2 linked regions of the Drosophila melanogaster genome follow. The protein of the gene in region 2 interacts with the protein of the main gene of each other region in a pairwise test. Each region holds a gene or a part of one and is shown on either strand. Other genes may lie near its edges.

The links.
Region 1: the proteins of Rab9 (region 2) and GM130 interact in a two-hybrid assay, tested with the Drosophila melanogaster proteins (one study listed by BioGRID).

Annotation. Positions count from the first base shown.
Region 1 is NT_033778.4:22,120,269-22,131,586, reverse strand, and holds GM130 (golgi matrix protein 130 kD), read left to right. Parts: upstream 1-4,084; 5' UTR 4,085-4,224; coding exon 4,225-4,281; intron 4,282-4,382; coding exon 4,383-5,378; intron 5,379-5,433; coding exon 5,434-5,946; intron 5,947-6,005; coding exon 6,006-6,827; 3' UTR 6,828-7,020; downstream 7,021-11,318. Other genes in the region: CG34205 (uncharacterized protein), read left to right, coding at 377-454, 620-943, 1,007-1,258; NtR, read right to left, coding at 1,474-1,596, 1,657-1,823, 1,896-2,036, 2,102-2,633, 2,706-2,893, 2,962-3,114, 3,174-3,305, 3,411-3,732; mei-S332 (meiotic from via salaria 332), read right to left, coding at 7,323-8,051, 8,113-8,589.
Region 2 is NT_033779.5:19,430,727-19,442,520, reverse strand, and holds Rab9 (Rab9), read right to left. Parts: upstream 9,948-11,794; 5' UTR 9,650-9,947; coding exon 9,458-9,649; intron 7,855-9,457; coding exon 7,660-7,854; intron 7,599-7,659; coding exon 7,215-7,598; 3' UTR 6,680-7,214; downstream 1-6,679. Other genes in the region: CG10237 (uncharacterized protein), read left to right, coding at 1,800-1,857, 4,676-4,855, 5,395-5,489, 5,558-5,711, 5,888-6,375; RtcB RNA ligase, read right to left, coding at 10,170-10,397, 10,458-11,750.

The sequences.
Region 1 (11,318 bases), on a different chromosome or scaffold from region 2:
GCGAGCCACAATGGCACCCCCAGTGTAAAGACCGCCTTTCCTGCGGCGACTCCTTAGCCGGCAAGTGGTCTGCCTTCGGTTCGGAGCTCCCAACTCCCAGCTCCAGTTCAGGTTGCGTCATCCGCGTTTGGGGGCTCTCCAATCCGAGCTGCGTCTACGAGAATTGCAGTTTCACTGCAGCCGAGATACTTCACAAATTGGTGCTGCTTGGCCCGCTTTGTTGACTGCTGTCTGCTGACTGTTTGTCCGTCCGAGGCTCAGATCGAAATCTAGTCAAGATCTGTCCGCTCGACCACCTGTCCTCCGGTCCGCAGTTCGCAGTCCGCTCGAGAGTGCGAGTGCGTGGTCTGCCGTCGAGGGGTATAAAAGTAACGCAATGCACACGTCCACTTACAGTTGCAATTCTCCCTCCAAGCCAAGTGATTCGTTATCCAGCGCTAGCATGAAACTTCTGGTGAGTGGAAAGGGTTGGAAAGGATGCGGCCTAGGATCAGTATTATCACTTTAAGCCAATAATACTGACTGCAAAGGATATCTTCATACAAGGATTACCTCGATCTTATATTCACTAGATCAAAAAGATTAACATCAAAGTTTGGTTTTCCATTTACCTCGCCAGATCCTTACCTCTCTGCTGGCTGTGGCCACTGCTGCTCCTGGACTCCTTGATTATGGACACTCGGCTCCGGACTACAGCTACGCCCATGCCGCTCCTGCCATAACATATGCAGCTGCAGCTCCAGTCATCAAGTCCTACGCTGCCCCAGCCATCACCTATGCGGCTCCAGCTCCGGTGATCAAGTCCTATGCCGCTCCAGCCATCAGCTACGCCCATGCCGCTCCTGCCATCAGCTACGCCGCTCCCACGGTGGTCAAGTCCTATGCTGCTCCTGTGGCGGTCAAGGTGGCAGCTCCAGCCACCAGCTACTCGCACTTCAGCTCGGTAAGATCTGGATATACTCTGATATTTTCCCATTTAATCTTACAATCTACTTTGCATGCACAGGTTGTTTCCCATGCCACGCCCATTGTTAAGTCGTACGCTGCGCCTGCCATCGCCTATGCTGCTCCAGCTCCGGTGATCAAGTCCTATGCCGCTCCAGCCATCAGTTACGCCCATGCCGCTCCAGCCATCAGCTACGCTGCTCCCACGGTGGTCAAGTCATATGCGGCTCCAGCCATCAGCTACGCAGCTCCTGCCCTGGTTAAGTCATACGCTGCACCTGCCCTGTCCCTGGGTGGATACGGTTACCACTAAGCTCCGATACCAAAACACTCCAAATCCAAATCGATCCCGGATCGGAGTTGGAACAATGGCAGCAATTAACTGCGAGGAGTCGCAACAGCCCAGCACGCTCTCCCACTTTTTCAACTTGTAGTCGCAAAATCTTCACAATCTTCTCTGTTTACTTCTTATTTATTTAAGAACCATTAATATTCTCTCAAATGCACAATAAAGAAAAATTCTGTTTTTCAAAACCCACTCGTAATATCTACGATGGCAAAGGTTATAATGACCAAGATTGAACTCAGGTTGTTCAGGATCTTGGCCATATGGTGCCAGGGATTCTCCTGAATGTCGCAATAGTCGGTAGACTGTAGGAATATAGTGAATTGCAATACGTATATGTGTTCAATAGGGGCTTAACTACTCACATCCGAAAATCTCAATCCCAGAATGCATCGCAGAACATTGGAGTTAATCACCCTAACCAGCCAGCCAGGAGCCTTCGATCTGGGTGGATATAGATCCAGCCATATAATGCAGATGTGCAGAATGTAGCAATAGGTGGTGGTCATCATGATGACTTTATATGCAGTCACTGTAGGAAAAGTGAAAATTTGAATTTGAAAATTATACACAGTGAGTTTTAGTTAATTGATTTAAAACTTACTCATGGGCGGCACATAATGCGGAGAGGCGTAGCGCGTCATGTACATTAAACCCCAGGCGGCAATCAGCAAGGCGATGAGAATGAGGGAACTCCTACGAGTAGAACGCAGTACAAAGGACAAAATCAGGAACATCTGGCAGGCTGAAAGAATATATTGTAGTTATATGTTATTCCATAACAAGAAATCAAACACATTTTCATATTACCAATCAACGGCAAATAGAAGACGGTCATGTAGAAGCTCCGATTCCTTTGCAGCGTGAACTCAATTGCCACATCGCCGGTCATTTTCTGCATCATTCCCTTGGGGTTGTATCGCCTTTGCGAATCGTTCTCCACCAGCACCACGGACATTTGCGTGAACGACCAGCCGGATGGCGTGTTCACGTGCTCATTGGGCGCAATCGGCTTGCGCTGATCATCGTAGATTAGCGCCACATTCTCCTGCCCCTCCTGGCCATTGAGACCCAGCTCGATGTCGCAAGTCACTCGCTCGCTTGGCCAGTTTCGGGCACTGTCCACACACCAACTGGCCAGCTGGAGGTTTTGAGCGTACAGGGTGATGCTTCCGTTGGCGTAGACCATCAGCTCATAGGATTGGAGGACCTGACCCATGGATTGCAGGGCGCCGTTGAGGACGTTCATATGCGGCTTCCATATACGAAGGTCAGGATGTTCGAAAGATTCCAGCGAGCCGAAGTCCTCGGGTTTCCAGACAAGACGACTATCCCTCCAGTGCTGCATGGATAGGCGAATGTATCTTTACTGTTTCACACTAAATATTTGCATTTCGAGCTTATCTTTCATTACCATCATCATGTGCATGCGGGTCTGAAGCAAGGAACTGGTTTGCTCGTAGGCGAGGGAGCGCGTTTGGAAGTGGAACGATATGGAGCTGAGATTAGCCGGCATGCTTGCATTTTCCGCCTGGATATTCAGATGGCTTAGCAGTTTTTCCGTCTTCGTTTCCTCCTTCACTATCGGTGCAATTTCCGACCCTGAAATGGGTCAGTTTTAGAACATACTTACAGATATAGACTTATAGCTTACTATATATCATCCTTACCATAACCATCGAAGCCACAGTCGTAAAACCACCGCGCCGTATTGGAACCAAAGGAGCTGAAACTCAGATAGTTGATGACCAGCGGTGCTTCATCGATGAACTGCAGCAGGGGCTCCTTCTTGAAGCCGGGTATGTAAACAAACAGCTCGCCATCTGGAAATATACTGTGCGTTGGAGGGGCAGGGAATACCCGATAAGATGGGGGAACTCACTCTGGTTTTGGACAATCTCAATTGGCGTCGGGTCGTACAGCGATACCAAGTTCGGCTCTTGATTCGTGGCCACCCGCCTCATTCCCATAGCATTCCGGATTGCGGAAAACGTATTTCCGCCGGCTCCTATCACTGCAAGCGGAATAAAGATATCAATTGAATATTTAGGTAGGGTTCCACTAGAAAGAGCTCATTGAAATGCTGGAATTAAAACTGAATATTATTGATTTCACCCACCGATCTCGTAAACGCGATCATTTGGGCGCGGGTGATTCGTCACCGAGAGCAGGATGTGCGCATCCATGGCGGTCAGGACGTAGAATTTCAAGTGCAGCCGCTCTCCGGCCTTCCTGTTGTTGTTGCTCAGCTCGCGCAGCATGTAGAACCTCCGGTAGCCATAGCCCGTATTCGGAACGGAGTAGGTTTCGCAGGAATCCAGCTGGGCGAAGCTCACGTTGAATCTCGTTGACAGTTGTCCCGATTCCGCTGGGTCAATCAATATCAGTAGCAGGCACAGGCAGCAGTATGTTGCCAAGGAGCCCTTGATAAGGTTGTACATCGTATCGACCTGGACTTCTACTCCTCACAGCGGCTTAACTACGACTGAATTAGGAAGCCGACTTAAGTGAAGTGATAAGAAACGATGAACTAATGGTTGTTTCGATAAATAATACTGTTTTTTTTTTTTAATTTGAAGAGTATTTCTCAAAACCTCCTCGCATGAACGTTTATGCAAGTAGAGTGAAATTTCTTAATTGTACATAATCTCTGTTTATTGAAAACGGATACGCATATATACGTGTTCGATTTTAAAAATGAAAAAAAAGCTAAAAATGCGCGCCAATATATAACTGTGCTTTCCCTGCCGCCTAGTGTACCCGTTCGCGCGGCATTTTGGCTCTAAACGCGTACGGTCATACTGAACTTCAGACCTGTTATCAACATTCAGAAATTTCCACTTTTGCCTAGCTTAATTTACATTTGTTGGCTCGCCTTCCGAACCGAGCTTACTCCAGGTGTGGCAAAGGTACCGCTGCTGACCCCGAAGGACATGCCCGATGACACGCAGGATGCCAAGGCGCAGAAGTTGGCCGCGGCAAGGAAAAAGGTGCGACAACCAGTGCCACACACAATTGTTTTGCTCTTGTGACGTGGACACATATTGGCCGACTAATATTGATTTTGTTTAACACGCTTCTGTGGACACAGCTGAAGGAGTACCAGCAGCGCGCCAGCAACAACAATGGGCAGCCGGGAGCAGAGGAGCCGGTGGCTGCCACCACGCAATCGCACTCGTCCACTGTGAGCATATCCAGCAATCTGTCGGAACGGTCAGACAGCGAGATAAATGTGAACGGTGGAGGAGCAGGTGGGACGCAGCCGCCGGAGCAGTCTGCCCTGCCCACAGCCGCTTCTTATTTTGCCCAAAACGAGTCGGAACACAATGGTGGACTGGCAGATGCCTCTAGCTTGCAGGCCATCCAGGTGATCATCGCTGAAAAGGCCCAGCTCAATGCGGAGCTGACCAAGGTTCGCCTGGCTTGCCGGGAGCGTGAGCTAGAGCTGGAGGAGCTTCGCATCCTCAAGGATCAGAATCAATTGCGTCTGGAGCAGCTACAACAGCACTGCCAGGATCAACAGTCGACCGGTGAGCAGCAGCGACAGCAGTACGCGCAACTCCAGGCACAACTGCTACAATCGCAGGCACAAATCAAGGACCAACAGTCGCATCTCAACGAACTAGAGGCCCAGCTAAAGCAGAGCAACCAGCATCAAGAGGAACTGCAGCAACAGCTTTCCCAAAAATCGAACGAACTCGAGATGGCGCAGCTGAAGCTGCGGCAGCTCTCAGACGAGTCTAGCGTCACCACAGACAACCGAGTGGAGTCGCTGGTGCAAACACAATACATGTACGAGCAACAGATACGCGACCTCCAAGCGATGGTGGGTCAACTAACGCAGGACAAGGAGCAGGCAGCTGGTCAGTATCAAAACTATGTGCAGCATCAGAGTGGCGAGATCGCCAAGCTCAACGAACGAAACACAGAACTCTCAGAGGTACTGAACTCACTGAGGGAGCGAGAACGCCAGCTTGTGGAGCACGTGGGCGCCCTGGAGCGGGATATACAAAAGAACATCAGCCTGCAGGCCCAATTTAAAGAGGCCAGTCAAGTGCAGCCATCCAAGGAAGAAACCAGCGAGCAGGTAAGTAAGCCAAAAAAATATGGAAAACCTGTTTAATCTCCTAGTTCAATTTCAGAAAGCCTTAAAAGATGAACTGGCTGTCTTGAAAGAGCAGATCGAAAACTTCGAGTTTGAGCGCCACGAATTCCAGCTGAAGATCAAGTCGCAGGACGATCAGCTGCAGTTAAAGAACTCGGCTTTAGACGAGTTGGAAAAGCAACTCGAACGCTTGCAAGCTGAGCAGCCCGATCAGTCCAAGCTGTTGGCCACCATGGAGTCAGACAAAGTGGCCGCATCGCGTGCCCTAACCCAGAATGTAGAGATGAAAAACCAGTTGGACGAACTGCAGCAGCGATTTGTTCAGTTGACAAACGACAAAGCCGAGCTGGTCATCCGCTTGGATTCAGAAGAGTTTGCCAACCGAGAAATCCGCCAGAACTACAACAGCATGGAGCAAAAGCTTCAAGCAAATGAGGAGCGCTTTAAGTTCAAGGATGAGGAAATGATTAGACTATCGCACGAGAACGTGGAACTACAACGTCAGCAGTTAATGTTGCAACAGCAGCTGGACCGTCTCAGGCATTATGAGGTGGGTTGGACTGGGATTAAAATTTAACTGACTTTATATCCCATTATCATTTCTTTCAGGCAAAAGCTTATCACGCCGGTGAGGAAACCGAAAAAGAGAATGGAGCAGATGCACCGGAAAACGAAGCAGAGGAAGCGAAGGAAGTTGGTCTTTTGCATAATCATTCGCACGATCACTCTCATCAGCATTCCGACGGTCATTGTCATGATAATGACCACGATCATTCCCATGAACATAACCATCATAATGCTGGTGATCATGGTCATCCACATGATCATCCGCACGATCACACACATGATCATTCACATAGCCATCCACACGATCATCAGCATGATCATCCACATGATCACGGCCAGAACCACGCCCACAGACAAGCAGCTGAAACGCTGCCCACCGCCGAGGCCGTGGAACGCTTGCAATCGCGTTTCACCACACTGATCAGCCAGGTCGCCGACTTGACGGAGGAGAAGCACAGCCTGGAGCATCTGGTGCTCCAGCTGCAGAGCGAAACCGAAACGATTGGCGAGTACATTGCCCTCTATCAAACGCAGAGGCGCATGCTAAAGCAGCGTGAGTACGAGAAGGCCGCCCAAATGCGTCTCTTGCAAGCGGAGCGAGAGCAGCTGCGCGAGAAGATTGAGGCACTAAACAAGCTGGTGGTCAGTTTGGGCGTGGAGCTACCCGCAGATGCCGCCCAGGCAAAGCAACCAGAAGCGGCCGCAGGTAGCGAACACACTCCTGGCGAAGGTGAAAACTCGCAACAGATCATCAACAAGATACAGGACATTATCAGCGAGATCAAGGAGAACACGGAGCAGCCAAGCCACAACCATGCAGGAGACCATCTCAACTGTTGTATGGGCAAGTTCGAGGTAGTCTAAAAGAAGTGCAATTATCGCCTACCTACGTATAATCATTACCCTTTTGCTACTGTATTTAATTGTAATTGTAATTGTACTTTGTTCTTCAGAGTCTTTTGTAAATGTTTCCAACAACTTTGTGCGAATAAACGTAGTTTGCATCTAAGAGGAATCTATAAAATGAGTTCCCCTAAAAGCGTATTAACAAATAATTAATTGAAACGTTGTTTTATTCACAAATGAACATGTAAAAATTAGACGTACTTTTAAATTCCTATTGGCATCTTTGGGTGATGATGATGATGGAGTGTCTTCCTTCCGATAGCGCTGGATGAACTGAATATGCCCTCTATTGCAGGCAAAAAGTAATCCGATGTCAGCTTTTAGTCTATAAATTAAACTTATCAGGGCCTGACGATTTAAAAATATTATTCATATTAAAAATGGTAAAAAGTGGTATTGAAAACCAATGAAATTACAGAAACAACATTAAAGCCTATTAAAAAATTCGTCTATCTACTTTTTGGCCTTGGCCTTGCCTTTCGAGCCATTGCGCAACTTGTTCTTCAGACTTGGCTCCACCAAACTGGTGGGCCTGCAGCTTCTACTCGGCCTTGCGCTGTTGTTGCAGAAAGAACTAGACATATCCGTATTTTCTGATTTCTTATTAGCCGCAGTTCGGCTTCTAGTTCTTATAGATGGCATTTCCTCGACGAGAAAGGATTTCGGAGTGCTGGTGCTTCCGGCCATTTTGCCTATCCCATTGAACAGGCTTCTTCGCGGCGTTAATCCGTTGACATCAGGAAATATTCCAGACGATTGACTAGGCCTGGTGACTGCCAGTCGTGGGCACTGTATGCTTGGCTCCTGTGGAGAATCTTCCACAGCTACGGAAATAGCCAACCATGATCCCTTCCCAGTCTCTTTTCCCCGACTGAGGGACACTGCTACAGGGATATTGGTGTCCACTTCCCGCAGAGCCCGTCCACTGGGCGTGACGGTGACTTGGGCGTTTGGCGGACTACTTTCAAACGTTGTGTCGCAATAGATGGCCTCGCATGATGATGACGAGTCTGTGGACTCCCCTTCACTGCCATTTTCCTCTATAATGCTAAACAGACGATTGTTCTCTTCATTTTGCTCAGTCTGTGTCTCCTCCACGGGGCTTACTGCTTCGTCGAAATCATCGTCCGAGTCGTCCTCATCAAACACTAATTCCGCTGGTCTTCGTGGCGGTGGTGTAGGCTGTACTCAAGCCGATAATGAATCGTTAAGAAAAGCATAATCAAATTTAAGTATAAGTTACCTTGTTGGCTCTTCTATCCTCTGGTATCCTAGTGGTCACCACCTCGGACTGCACTTCTGCGCTGGAGCGGCGACTAGTGGACGATACAGTACTGGTCACTGAGGAAGATCTTCTTGGCGAGATTGGTCTGGTGGTGCGGGCCAACGCACACGTCCGTCGCATGTCCTTGCAGATTTCCCTGGAGCTGCGACGCGGGCCGCTTGGTCTGTTTATCTGAGCTGCGGGAGCGGGCTCCTGACGCACTGCCAGGGAATCGGAGTCCACGTTCAGGCTCAGCATCAGGCTGCGTACGATACTGATGTTCTCCATGCGCTGGCGATGGTTTTGCAGGACGTGCTCCTCCCGAATGTCCATGATCTCTCGCTCCAAAGATATCACCCGCTTCCTGTACTCGCCGATCTCCAAGCGCTGCTTCTGCACTTGGTCCATTAGCTCCGCATTCAGCAGCTTGTACTGCTGCTCCACTTTGGATCCCATTTGCTTCTTCTGATCTACTTATTCCATACACAAAATCCAGACAGACGACGCCAATAGCTTGTTTTGAATTTTGAAATAGAGTGACCGTTGTTGTGCTATTGGAATATACCCCAGCTTAAGGAAAACTTTTTGAAAGTATGGCAACGCCGACCATGCTCTTAATTAAAATGAAATTCTTTAATTTTGGGCCATATATATAAGAAACAATACAATCCGATGTGAATATATTTTATTTTAATAATTATAAATTTGTTTGTCTCATTTGCACGACAAGAATTAGGAACCGTTGAGTTGGTGCGAATTTGATCGTACATGCGTTACCAAGGGTAATTTTCCATTTAAATTCTACACGTATGCCAAAATGCTAAAATTTCGCTTAGTGGAAGCTGTGTATATTGCGGGACACCGATTTCGATAGGCACAAACCATCGAGAGACATCGATACGTCTATGTTTCTCTTACACCTCTAAGCTGCACAATAAATTTATTGTTTTCTCGACCGATTGCGAAGAAAATCTGGATATCCGTGGTAGATAAACAATGCTGCAGCGCTAGAACCCGGAAATCGAAGTGAATACGCGTTTCGGGAGGTTGTAGATACACCTTGCAGAACGCGAAAATCGCACTGAATCAGAAGTCAGCCCACCTGGCAGTGTGTGCGTGCGTGTACGTGAGTGAGAGTGTGCTGTCGCAGTGTGCGTGTGTTTGTGTAAAAATGAAAATCAGTCGGATTTGTATCGTCGTTGTACGTCTTTTAGGCATTTAGCCAGGCTTTTACACATTTCTACAATTCTTACCAACAGTGGGAGGGACTTTCCCCCCGCACTCACAGGACACGATACACATCACATGCAACACCTGTGCACTCGAAAAACGATAGACGGATCTAGCGCGCGGATTAACTTAACTTAGGAACACGGATACGGATTATACACCATAGTTTCGGAAAAATACATTAGGGAACCGCTTGCTATGCTGTTTCATCTCCGCCAGAGAATCACGACAATCACCTGCTGAAACACCGAAGACAGCCAGCAGCCCAGAGAACCGAGAATTTCATTCACAGAAGCTACGACCGCAGTCGAAAACCGAAACCCGCTTCAAGGTGAGTCTGTTTGTAAATCCAACTCGTTTGGCTTTGTACCCATTTAGTCGATTGAGTGCATCACTCAGCACTCAGAATCCGAAGTGGTACGGACTTATCGAGCGACCTTATCAATTCTATTTCGCACGGTGCCCAGAAATTTGGTAATTTATGGCAAGTTCAGGAACCTCTTCGGTACCAGTTCCATGTAGGCAATTATCTTATCGCGCCCTCCGACAATTTCGCCACGATATTTGCGACTAATGGTTGTGTGTATGTAAAATTGCATTTTCCAAGATATGGGGCTATATCTTATAGCCTCGAGGTACACAATAAACAAACACATACCAGCGTTAGTAGGCAGCTGTATTTAGACTTTTTATAATATTTATTCATATGTCCATATTCCAGATTAATCACCATTATTTGCATATATTCTAAGTATAGCCGACAGTCCATGTCTTGCCCGATTTGATTTAATATTTGAGCTTGCATGAAATTTATTTTTTCCTGTGTCGGAGAACACGAAAAGCCTTTTCCACCGTCTAACCGGCTAAAAGGGGTGCAATAAACTCGGGTCGCTTTGATTTTCTCCTGTTCCGTCAGCGAATGCACTTTGTTTTGGTTTGTTGTCGCTTTGTCTTAATCACATTAAGCAAAACGCCCGGGCACGCGACGCATGACGACACCAAGTGTTGCAACACCAGCGAAGACCCATGGAGCATGTGGCCACCCATGCCACCCCATAACTGACCTACAAAGAGTGCATTGCTCGACGGCCGACGAAAACTAAATTCGCTGACTAGGGGTTGATTCATTCGCTTGGCTCCCTTCAGCGATGTGAGTGCGAATTGTGGCGGTTGAACTTCGATGGTATGACATAATCTGGGCTCTTACTATAGCCATTTGAAGAGGCATACAATCGCAATCTTTACATTAGATTTATTACTTGTAGAGTTAGTCACAAGTTTTAGCTTAAGCGTGCAACTTCTGGTGTCGTGGTACCGGTGTCCGGGTTCCAGTTGTCCAGCACTCCCATTAGCTGAGCAACGAATATCTGATAGTCGAGGAACGTCTTGTTTATATTCTCATTTCTAAAATGCTTTACTACTCTGCGATGGTGGAAAACAGATATCAAAACATTGAAATACAAGACTATAGAAGTTGTTATAAGTAATTTCTTTTCTCTGTACCGAAAATAACCCTCGTGGCCAATTTAGTGCGCTCTTTAAACCATCCACAAGTGTGAATGGGCTTCGAGCTCCTTTCCGTAATGCTATGCATGGCACAAAGGGTCGTCCCAGTCGCCGGGTTCAATGTCATTGGCGTGGCGTAGGCCATGGCAGCGGTGGGCACATGGCACCGACCCATCCCAACGTCCCATTCCATGGCATCCCGTCCAGGAGTCTGCCTGCTGCCGGTCTATTGTCGAGGCTGTTGTGCATGCCCCACTGCAAGTACACACAGAAATATCGAGTGCTGCTGCAGTGACACACGCAAAGACTGGTGATTGAAGGGAGGGTGGAGGTGAAGGTGTGTGGGGCACGGGGTGTGGATATGGGGTTTTATGGCCACGGGGAGTGGGCACTTGTCGGCCTTGTGTGCGGCCATTTGTCAGTCGAATTGGCTGTCGTGCATTTTTCGA
Region 2 (11,794 bases):
CAGAATGGGCTCAGGCAAGCGCAAGAAATGGCATGGAAATACATTTGGAAACGGCGAGCAGTGAAATACTTAATTAATTGCTCGTGCTTGAAACTAAAAGCAAATGAGCTCGAATTACCCACAGCCCCCGTCAGTCAGTTGATCACTTGATCGTGGAACGCGGACACGCCAGTCGAAAGAAGGTACATTAGCTAGTGTCCGGCAGAAAAGCAGAAAGTTACTGTTGTGTCGAACGGGAGGAGTGATAGCCAAAGCAATAACTTACACACTTACGATCCGTAAGAGGGATTACAAACTCGTTTTTCACTCAGTCACAGTGGCGAAGGCGATTAGTCTTTAAACTACTCGTGTACGGAGCGTTCAAAAGTTCAAGTCTAATTGCATCCAAGTCGCGTAACCATCAGAAGATTAACCACGATACACTGTGCGAAACGCTCAGAACACGCACTTAATATAAATATATATACATATATAAAGCTGTGCCGCGATTGCGAAAGTGCCCCGATGCTATATAGCTAACTTAAAAATTTCGTATTTTGCGACGAGAAATGAAAATATTCCTTCGTTTACATTCTAGAACAAATATAGGAAGTGGACTTTTCGCAAGTGGCAGATGAGAATTTCTCGAAAGTGCTAAACAGTACAAGTTACAAAGTGTATATAGTTACAAAATATAGCAAAGTGGATTTCCTGATAGAAAGTACGGATTTTTTCAATAATAATAATAATAACTATATTGTTTTAAGTCAAGAACATTTCTAAAAGTGCACACAAAGTGAAGAAAGTTCTTGAATTTTGTAGTACTCACTTACTTTCAGTGTACCTTCTGCAACATTATATTTAATAATGTTAATTGCTGTGGAAAATCGATTGAGTGCGCTGCACCGTGAGAAATACCGCACTTGTCTTGGCACTTTAACGTACTAAAAACAATGGAAATAACATAAAATTAATGCTGAGCTCAGTGAACCATTTTCAGGTGAACTTATGCAAAACAAGCCAAAAAAAAAAAAGAAGATCCCATGCGGCGATTCGCGACGTGATCTTTAGAGCTCTTAACTCGAATCGGTCGCTTATAATGACCTATTAAGTCGCGCTGGCCTTACGAGTGCCCGACTATTCCGACCGACCTATGTATATATCTTGATAACTATAACTTTGTCGTACAATACATATGTGCAATGCACGCAGTGCATAAAAGGGGCGGCTATAAAACGATTTGACAAGCAGCTTTGTATTTTCAGTCTTCAAACGCGACCCAAGCTCACTAGGTACATATATCGGAGTCGAACGGGAGTTCCGAAGGATTTCCACTGTACCAGCCAACTATTTGTGGATTAGCCGATTTTCAATTCAAACAAGGTGAGTAATTGGATCTCATATATACATTTGTATATATATATACATATAGAGTGCTTTTCTTTTTAAGAGTGCATTTCTGAGTGTGTAGCGCTAGGGACCATAAAAATATCTTAGCCAGATCACCATCACTATCACTATGTAGCTACGCTCAGCCCTTATTTACGAGGCATCACTGTCTGTCCGTGTTTTTTGCATTGCCTTTTGCTCATTACTGTTGCATGCATTCCCCCCTTTCGCACTCGTCGCTCGAGAATTTCAGACAAAGTTCAGTAACTCGCCGACGACATTGACCCATTTAGCCACCGCCGATGCTCCCGACTCGATCAGCCTGAATAAAGAAATATTAATTTATTTACATACGCTAGCATTTGCATGTGCATACCGGTTTAGTTAGTTGTAAAGTAACTTGTGTGTGTATTCATTCGATCTGCATCGCCATGACCATGCTGACCACTGCATCTGCGATGAGGTGCCTGCCCTCTGAATTCCCACTTGGTGAGCAATAGCGAAATCTGCCGAACCCCATTTTTTATCGTATATTTATTGCAAGTACTATATGCATTTTCTTAGAATTATCTCCCTCAAATAGAATTATTTTCTATATACGTACGTATGTATTTATATAAGGCGCGTGGCTACAGTTGCTCGAAAAACTATACACCAGTTTGTTAAAAACTTATATACAGTTGTGCTGGTAATTGAAAGTCACGATTAGTTCGAGAAAGAGTATTTAAAAGGTATTCAAAATATAAATAATTTAAAAAAAACAACACTTTTTGCAATGCCTTTTGATATGCCATCTAAATTGTTTGGACATCAAGCGAGTATTCATGTAACAATCCATTTGTTCGATGTCAGTAATATCTACCGACTTGTACTTTTTCCATCTCTTGAGTAAGGTCAAAGCACTTTTGCTTTTGAACCGCCATTGTCACGTTCTTCAAAAGCAGGTTTCTCATGCAGGGTTTTTAACACGCTTTTTGCAAAGAAAAAACCGAAGGGCGAAGGTTGACATTGCAATGGGTCGTAACCCCAGAATTACTCATATTACTCGCTTCAAGTTTTTTCCATATACTCGCAGCTTTGTACCACCCAGTTTTCGTCAGCATCCGCTTCGAGATGGCCAATAAAAATTGACCAAATGACCGAAACTGGCCGTAATGAAATCGAGAGTATCATCGCAACGTAAATCCGTATCCATGAATGGCCGAAGTCTTCGCACGTGCGATCGTGCGATTGAACCGATTTGTCCAAAACCGGGCGGGAACCATTTGCTGTCCACAACGCAGAGGGTGCTCGGCTTTGGGACGTGTTAATTATACCAAATATGCCTGGCTTAACACATGGGGCTGAGAAAATAGGGACATATGATATGACATGGTGATGCGGTGTCATTAGATGCGATCTTATGATCTATAACTATGATCTATAAATAGTTGAAGATGCTTTCAAGTGTCCAATGTTTGTGGTCTCCAACAAATTGCTAGTGGGGTGACCCCAGGTGTAGGTACGCCGAACAGGTGTAAGCACTAATTGGCGTGTAGCTGGGCAGCATTGAAACCGGATGGCTATGCACGGGCACGGGGCTTCAGGGTCGCGATGGGAAATGCCTATGCCAAGGGATTTTCAAGAGCCCAATAGTACTGTGGGCGATTACCCGAAGAAAACCCGAATAAATTAGGCAAGTCCAAGTTGAAAGCGAAACTGAAACCGGCTTGAGGTGGCGGTGGCATCATTTCCCAATGACGATGCACCCCAGACCCAGTAAAGCTTGCTCGCTCTCCCTGGGCAAACTCCATGTGTCTCTCCATCTAGCAACTCCACGCTCTTGCGAGGCACGTGAATGTCATGCTCAAGTTCAGATTCAGCTGGTGATGATCACTTAATGGGTGCACAACTTGTTTCATATAATAGCATTATATAGTTATTCCCCATCACTAGTGCAAGCAAGCAAGAAAATATATGTTTCAGTAGAAGCTTATTATGTTGAAACTACTTCATTTTGGTGCATTAAAGCATTAAACAACTATAGTTAAAAGACCCCCTTATAGCAGAAGTAGTTACTGTCGGGAAACAAACCCACTTGGCAGCACTGGCGTCTCGATCGGCGACACCCACTCTCATGCCGCTCCGCTCACAATTCCAGTTTTAATTCTTGGCCTGGCATAAAATCTCGACTCGCGCTTTTGGCCGCAACAGTTTCATCTGGGCTTTCAGCTCCGTTGCACGCGTCACTCGCAGCTGGTTTTTTGGGCCGTCTTTGCGGAATACTGTTAGCCATTATACCATTATAGCCTTTAAGTTTGGGCCAAACTAGTTTCGGTCGTGTTGTGTTGTCTTGTGTTGTGTTGTGATCCGTGTGTACTATTTAAGATCTCGTATTTTCCCAGACACAACATCAGCGATTCAGTAGACTCTTGTGTATCATTCATGAATGCAAAAACAGACGATACCCTAAGCAAATCACCTGGCCCATCTAGCCGAAATTGGTAGCAATTTTCAATGTCAGCGCTTCGGATGCTAATCTCCTAGTCTTTTGTTTCGAGCCAGCACTAACGCTAATTTTCGATTTGATGGGAAATCTTCAGCGCTAATTTCCGATTTGATGGGAAATCTAGTGTGCTAATTTCTGATATCCAACTGCCCCACTATATAAGCTCACAGACCCTGGCTCCTCATCTCGCAATTCGAAACCTGCCTAACTGGAAATTACGCTCAAGTAGAACGCGTCAAGTGTCTCCAGAATTTAGTTCAAGGCTCCTAACGTTATTTTCTGATCTCTGAAGAATTGCATTATCTTCGCGAATCTCTGGCCTCTTCTTCCGTTTTAAGCAATTTGCGAATGTCAAGGTGAAGGTCGGCCAGGTGATTAATAAATAAATGAATACATATATGGATATGTTTAGACGATCATCGCATTGACTGGCGGGAAAGTCTAGAAACTCGATGCAGTTGAGCCGGTTCCGAGTCACTTGTGTCTCGCTAATAAATTGAAATCTCTACGCTTTTTTCTTCTTATAAATAGAGGGCACAATTTTACATTTGGCAAACTGAAAATATACAGCGGCGAACCGCTTAGAAAAAGCACATAGCTTAATATAATCGCAGAATAATTTCAGTTCAGCCAGAGCAGCAACAATTGCAAAATGAGTAAGTAGTAATTGTGAAGTATGACAACTAATTGGCAATCGATGTCAGTTAGCTCAAGTTATTTAGTTGGCCAAAGTTCCCAGTGCTCTCAGTGTGAAACCCGCAGCCCCAGCTCAAAGTACAGAAGCTGTCGCTAACCGAACCCCAACTGCTTCCCTTCCAGGAGTACCCACCATGCTGTCGGACATCGACCAACTGCCCACGCTCCAGGTGGGCGACTACACGCTCCAGTTCGAGTTGGGCGAGCCGACTGCCCAGGGCAAGGAGGTGGCCATCAAGGAGCTGCGCGAAACACCCGAGCGCCAGAAGGAGGCCTCCAAGGAGCTGGCCCGTCTTCTAGAAGGTGAGTCGTGATCAGAAATGGAGTTTTACTTTGAATCAATATAATTATACATTAACTACATGAGTTAAAACTCACATGATGAAAGTCATTGAAACTGCATTACATCTGTTTAAAGTATATACATATATCTGAACTGAGATCATACAATATGCATTTTGCTAAGCTATTTTCATAATTTATATCCGAGGGATCTCCAAAAGCTGATAAAAACTTGAGTTAATAAAACTTAAGCCATAAACTTCGTACTTAGCCTGCATCTAATAATTTACCCGATTGTTGGGAATTGAAAATCCATTTGTACACCAAGTTCGAACGAATAGTTCTATATCATTAGTTGGCGACTTCGTGTCACTAATAACAAGTTGGGGCTAAAAGCAGCGCGCCCTCGAGAGGATTTCGTTGCATAAGATTCGTAACTATTGTTACAAATTACGATTGCCTTTTAATTGCTGGATAAACTTAATGCCAGTGGTTTAGTGACTTTTTAGAATTAAGACTATTGAAGGTGAGGTCGATTAATATTTGCGATATGCTTCCAGCGGAGACGGACTTGCTGTACCCCAAGGGAAACGAGGAGTGGCTGATCAGATACCTGCGGCCCTGCAAGTATTACCCGGAAAGTGCCCGTGATCTGGTGAGTCTAGTGTGGCAACCCAGTTTCCAGCTGTGTTACTAATTGTATATATTCTGAATATGGAACAGATTAAGCGGTACTACGCCTTCAAGGTGAAGCACGCGGATGTGTACACCGACCTGAAGCCATCGAACGAGGCCAACATCTTCAAGCACAACATCCTTACCGTCTTCCCCAACCGAGATCAACTGGGTCGTCGCATTTTGGTCCTCGAACTGGGCAGTAAGTACACTGAAAGAAGGATACTTCAATATATTAGCTTTTGAGTGCAAAGATCTCGATCTTCAGAGTAAAGTTTATTTTAGTTAAGATGCAGGTTTTCCTATCATTTGAAGTTTCATAGTTGCTCCAAGCATTGAGCAGATCCTGTATTAATCTTTCGTAATCCCCGATTACAGAGCGCTGGAAGCACAAGCAGGTCACCCTCGATGAGGTGTTCAAGGGAGCTGTGCTCTTCCTGGAGGCGGCCATGCTGGAGCCAGAAACACAGATCTGCGGAGCCGTTGTGATCTTCGACATGGATGGCCTCAGTCTCCAGCAAACGTGGCAGTTTACGCCTCCGTTCGCCAAGCGCATTGTGGACTGGCTTCAGGACTCGGTGCCGCTCCGGATCAAGGCCATTCACATCGTGAACCAGCCGAAGATTTTCCAGGTGGTCTTTGCCCTGTTCAAGCCCTTCCTCAAGGAGAAGCTGCGCAGCAGGATCATCTTCCATGGCACCGATCGCGAGTCCCTGCACAAATACATGTCGCCCAAGTGCCTGCCAGCCGCCTACGGAGGATTCCGGGAGGCCAGCCGCATCGACAGCGACCAGTGGTACCAGCTGCTGCTCAAGTGCGACACCGAGTTCGACACCATCAACTCGTACGGCTACAAGAAGAAGTGATCTGTGGCCACCGGCCTGGTGCTGCTCGTGATAATCAACTCCACTCGTTTCCACACGTCTTCACATTAAGCCCACGTGGAGCGTTATAGTTAAGCACTCGATCTACCATACGCTTGTCCTGTTAGTGAGTAGCGCCTAGAGTTTGCCTTAGTCTTAACCAGGATCGGAGTGTCGATCGCAGCCAGAAGAAGTGTTATACCTACATGCATATTATTTTAATCCGGGGTAAGCGTATTTATATCATTTTACTATTGTACATTAAACCAATTGTTAAAATATAAACATACTTTGTAAACAAACACGTGCGGTATTCATATTTATTCGTTTGTTCCCAGCTTTCACATCAGATAAACACACTTAAGGCACTCCGAAATTATGCAATATATAAGGAAAAAATGTAGTGATTACATTCTGATTGCCTTATGCGTAGTACATTAGACACCTAAAGCTTGCTTTCCTCAAGCAAGACACTTGGTTATGGTAAAGCTTATATACGATTGTTATAAGAGTATTTCATACCGCATATATTCGATACGGTAACATAACAAAATAATAACTTAGTAAGATAATATTAAAGCATAGCAAGTAAAAATGGAGATCCTATTCTTGACATAGAAGCTAGCTCATAGTTAGCTCGCTGTGAAGCATAGTTCCCTTAGAATATCAACCACAACGAGGCAATCCACTCTCTACAGCCATCAACATTGGGTGGATGGGTTGCCTTTCGGTCTGAAGCTCCTGCCCCTCCGCGGACTGGAATGCATTGAATCTGAAGGTCAACCCGGCGGGGTGAGTGGTTAAATTAAGCGTAAGTTTCCTGACAGCTCCTGTCTGTCTGCTCATAGCCGATAATTGGTGGCTGGCGCCTTGCTGGCGTTGCGCTTCTGGCCGAACACTTTCTTGCCCGGACTGTGCATGGCGGCATCATCGCCATCCGCGTCCTGCCCTACGCCGCCGCCACCGCCTCCTCCGCCTGTGCAACAGATGCGCCGCTGCACCAGGCGAATGGGGCGGGTGAGGTCAATGGTGTCGCCGTGCTGGCGCAGTTCCGCCTCGGCCACGCACTCCATGTGCCGCCACTGGCGAAGGCCAAGGACGAACGCATCCGTCACATTGGTGGCCGCCTTCGATGACGTCTCGATGTGGCAGGCCACCTTCTGCTCCGCGCACCACTGCTGCACTGCGTCGGAGCTCACCTGTCGCTTCTGCGCCGGAATGTCGTTCTACAATTGGAAGCAATTAACCTTTTAAACTCAAGATGAACGTTCTGCAAGCATGGCTCACCTTATTTCCCACCACGATGAATGGAAACTTGTCCTGGTCCACATCTGCGTAGTTGAGGAACTCATTGCGCCACACACCCAATCCCTTCAAGCTGTCCCGGTCGTCGAGTGCGTAGCAGAGCAGACAGATGTCCGATCCTCTGTAGAACGGGGTGCGTAGAGCCCGGAATCGCTCCTGGCCAGCGGTGTCCCATATCTAGTTTGGGGAAATTCCAATTAAGGCAATGCATCAATTAAGTTTGATTGAATTGGCGATTCAAATGGCGCTCAATTGAAATTTGCATTCGATTAGAAGCAAACTCACTGAGAAACAAACACTTTCGCCGTTTGAAAACCTATGGAGTGTTTGCATGCCTGACTGACTCACTTATATCAACACATTTACTGTCATTTCTTGTGTGTTAATTAAATATTTAGTTTTGAACTGATAACGAGGTGGTGATAAGCAATTAGCTCAGGAAATAGTTCGTTGAATCTGAATTTTCGAGTAGCATACATACTTTAAATATTTATTTTATACTTTTATTTATTTTATACTTTCGAACATGAGGTTATACTTTTAGCTCTAACAATGGATACTTTAAACTTCTTTATCTAATATAAACACCTTTGGCCTCCAAACACATGGGTGGAATAACCCTTTTAGGGTGTGAGTACTGCCCATGGTAACTAAGTGACTCCATACATATGTACATATGTATATAGGTAGTGCAAAAAACACCCCAGTGATTCCACGATTTTTTGCAGCACTGGGAAATCCGCTTTTGGCCAAGTTCTTCCTGTGCCCAGCGAACTGTGAACCAGCAAACTATGCGAGATTCCCGTCGGATTAGTCATATGTATATCAATCAGTCCACATTCGCTACTTCCTACTTTATAATGTATCTGCTGGTCCAATTAGAATTATTATTCCGATTTGCGACACCTTGGCTGCATTTTGCTTACTCACTGAGACGCGCTGCATATTCATGAGTTTTCCGAGCTTGGCGAACTGTGAAAATCATTTAGTTCGATACTTTTGAAGACAACAGTCCGAATGGAAAATGGAAAACAACTGCGATGCGGATGAGATGGAGCGGGGGAAACCGCGTCGGCGGATGAAACAAAGTCTCTCACTTGTTTGCCGAATGGCGAAACTGTCATTATTGTTATTATTTCAGTTTTTTGTTTCTGCAATGCCATTCCGTTCTCAACGCTAATTGAGTAGAAATCTAATGTTCATATATGTGTGTGTGTGAGTGGGGATGGGGCAGATGGAACAGATACCCCCATAATGTAGGTACAGCTACAGTGGAAAAAACTACGTAATTAATTGATTGCACATATTTTTTTCTTAATTTCAAATGCAAGACTCAAAAACGTGTCAGTAAGATAATACTTTTCTCTGGTATACGAGTGTTTCAAATGGTTCAAGGAATGTATAGTCAATGTTTCCTTGTTTAAATGGTTTAATTTGTTAGCACTTCTGTTTTTACCCTGTTTAACTTACTAAAGTTCCACTGTGCCGCGAATGTAAGGGAATGGAAAACAAGGCTTAATCGTTGTGTAGTTTCTAAGTGTTTGCATCAACAAAATGCCGGTGGATCGGGCACAACCATGCGACGGTGGGATAGATCCGTTTGGGGGGGGGGGGAGGGGGTTAGTGTTTAAGTGAAATACACTTGAAGGAAATACGCTTGGCCAACTGTTGCATTCACCATAAGAATTGCAAAAGTTCTACGGCCTTGCCGCAATATCGGTATTACTATTACTCCTAGTCAGTAGTTGGATTGCATAATAGTCATAGTCGTAGTCTTCACCTGCAGAGTGTAGCGCTCCCCGTCGACGACTATGTCCTTGTTCATGAACTCCACGCCGATGGTGTGGAAGTTGTTCTCCTCGTAGCGATTGGCGACGAATCGGGTGAGCAGGGCGGACTTGCCAACGCCTCCGTCGCCCAGTATGACGACCTTCAGCAGCTTGGACTTCTGCGGCGGCCGCATGTTCGTCATAGTGCCTGCGTTTGTTTGTTCTTGCAGTTAAGTCCGGCGGCAACAGCAGTGGCTAGATTTCTTTGGCCTTTTCCTACTGCGCAGCTTGGTTGACTGCCGGCTGCAGTGAGTTTTCGGCTTAATTGCACTCACGATTCCCGAGCGATTAGCAGGCGCACATACAGAATTGCACACGGCGTGTTGTTAACAACGAATATAATTCGTTTTTTTTCGTTTAAATAAATCGAAATGGGCAGCTCAATCAAAATTCGCGCCGTGCAGCAGGTCCAATTGGATTGGCAGTCAGCTGACAACTAACAGACCGGGCCTTTGGCCTAACATAATGCTAAGCTCGCCGTTAACAGAGCGCCAGTGTGGGGTGACCACAGCTCACTTAACAGCTTAACTACATAACTGTTAACTTTGAATAAAAAAACGAAAACCTCTTAACAAATTCTATAAAAATTTTAATTCGTTATTAACTAAATTGACAGCCATCGGACCAAATGTTTATTGACTTAATCACAATAATAAATTAGACTTAGCCCTTGATAACTGCAATTGGGCGCATCTTGATGCACTTTTTGCTGATGCCAGCTGCGTGACAGGTGTCGACCACATCGGTCACGTCCTTGTAAGATTCGGGTGCCTCCTCCATGACCAGTTTGGGCGAGGCCACGCGTATGGCGATGCCCAACTGGTCCAGCTTGTCCAGCACATCCTTGTAGTCCAGATTGCGCCGGGATTTGGCTCGAGATAGTGCACGACCCTAAAGATTCAAGGAGGTTTTAGTCTGGCGAACAGGAAGAAACGGGATTTGGTTACTCACCGCTCCGTGGCAAGTGCTACCGAACGTCTCCTGCATGCCCTGCTCCGTTCCAGTTAGCACGTAACTGCAAGTGCCCATGGTTCCACCGACGAGGACTGGCTGCCCGGTAAGCTGATAGTCCACTGGGATCAGGGGATGGTGTGGCGGGAAGGCGCGCGTGGAGCCCTTCCGGTGAACCAACAGCTTCCGCTCCTTGCCGTCCACCATGTGGTTCTCCACCTTGGCAATATTGTGCGAAACGTCATAGATAACGTGCATGTCGAGATCATCGGGTGTGGTGTTAAACATCTTGGCAAACGCTTGACGGGTGAGGAATGTCATGGAGCTGCGATTCACCCAGGCAAAGTTCGCAGCCGCCGCCATGGCCTTCAAGTAGTCCTGTCCCTCCACCGAATTGATCCTGGCGCAGGCCAGCTGCCGGTCATTGGTCTCGATCTTGTCCCGCTTCATGGCCTTCTCCATCTGGACCAGGGCGTCGGTAGCGACCTGGTGGCCGAAGCCACGACTGCCCGAGTGAATCATCACCACCACCTGGCCCTTCTCCTCGATGCCCATCTTGGAGGCGCTCCACTTGTCGTAGATTTCGTCCACCACCTGGATCTCGGCGTAGTGATTGCCCGCACCCAGAGTGCCCAGCTGGGGCAGCCCTCGCTTCTTGGCCCGCATGCTCACCTTGGCGGGATCGGCGTTCAGCATGCGGCCGTACTCCTCGCAATGCTCCTTGTCCTCCGCCCACACGTATCCCTCGCGCAGCGACCAGTCCATGCCCATTTCGAGGGCCTCCTCCAGATCGCGGGCATTCATGGGTATGATGCCCTTGGAGCCCACACCCACGGGTATGTGATCGAACAGGGACTGCGCCAGTTGCTCCTTCACCGGCTGCACATCCTTCTCGTACAGATTCGTGCGCAGCAGACGCACGCCACAGTTGATGTCGAAACCCACGCCGCCGGGACTTACAACGGACAGCGGATCGTTCATGTCGAAAGCAGCCATGTTCCCGATGGCAAATCCGTAGCCGGAATGAATGTCGGGCAGTCCAATGGACCTGCCCACGATGCCCGGCAACGCGGCCACATTGGCTATCTGCTTGACGCCAGGCAGGAAGCCACCCACTGCGCCCGGGCGACAGGAGTTCTTCAGCTCCTCCAGCATCAGGCGCTCCAGCCGGCTGTTCACATAGAAACACCCCTCCACATTCATATTTGGCTGGAAGCCCTTCTTGATGCGCCAGCAGTGGTCGCTCACTTTCTCCAGGTACCGGAGCTCATCGTTGTACGGACGCACCACCATCCTGACTCTCCGGTCGTTCTCTTTGCCAGCCAATCGCTTCTTAA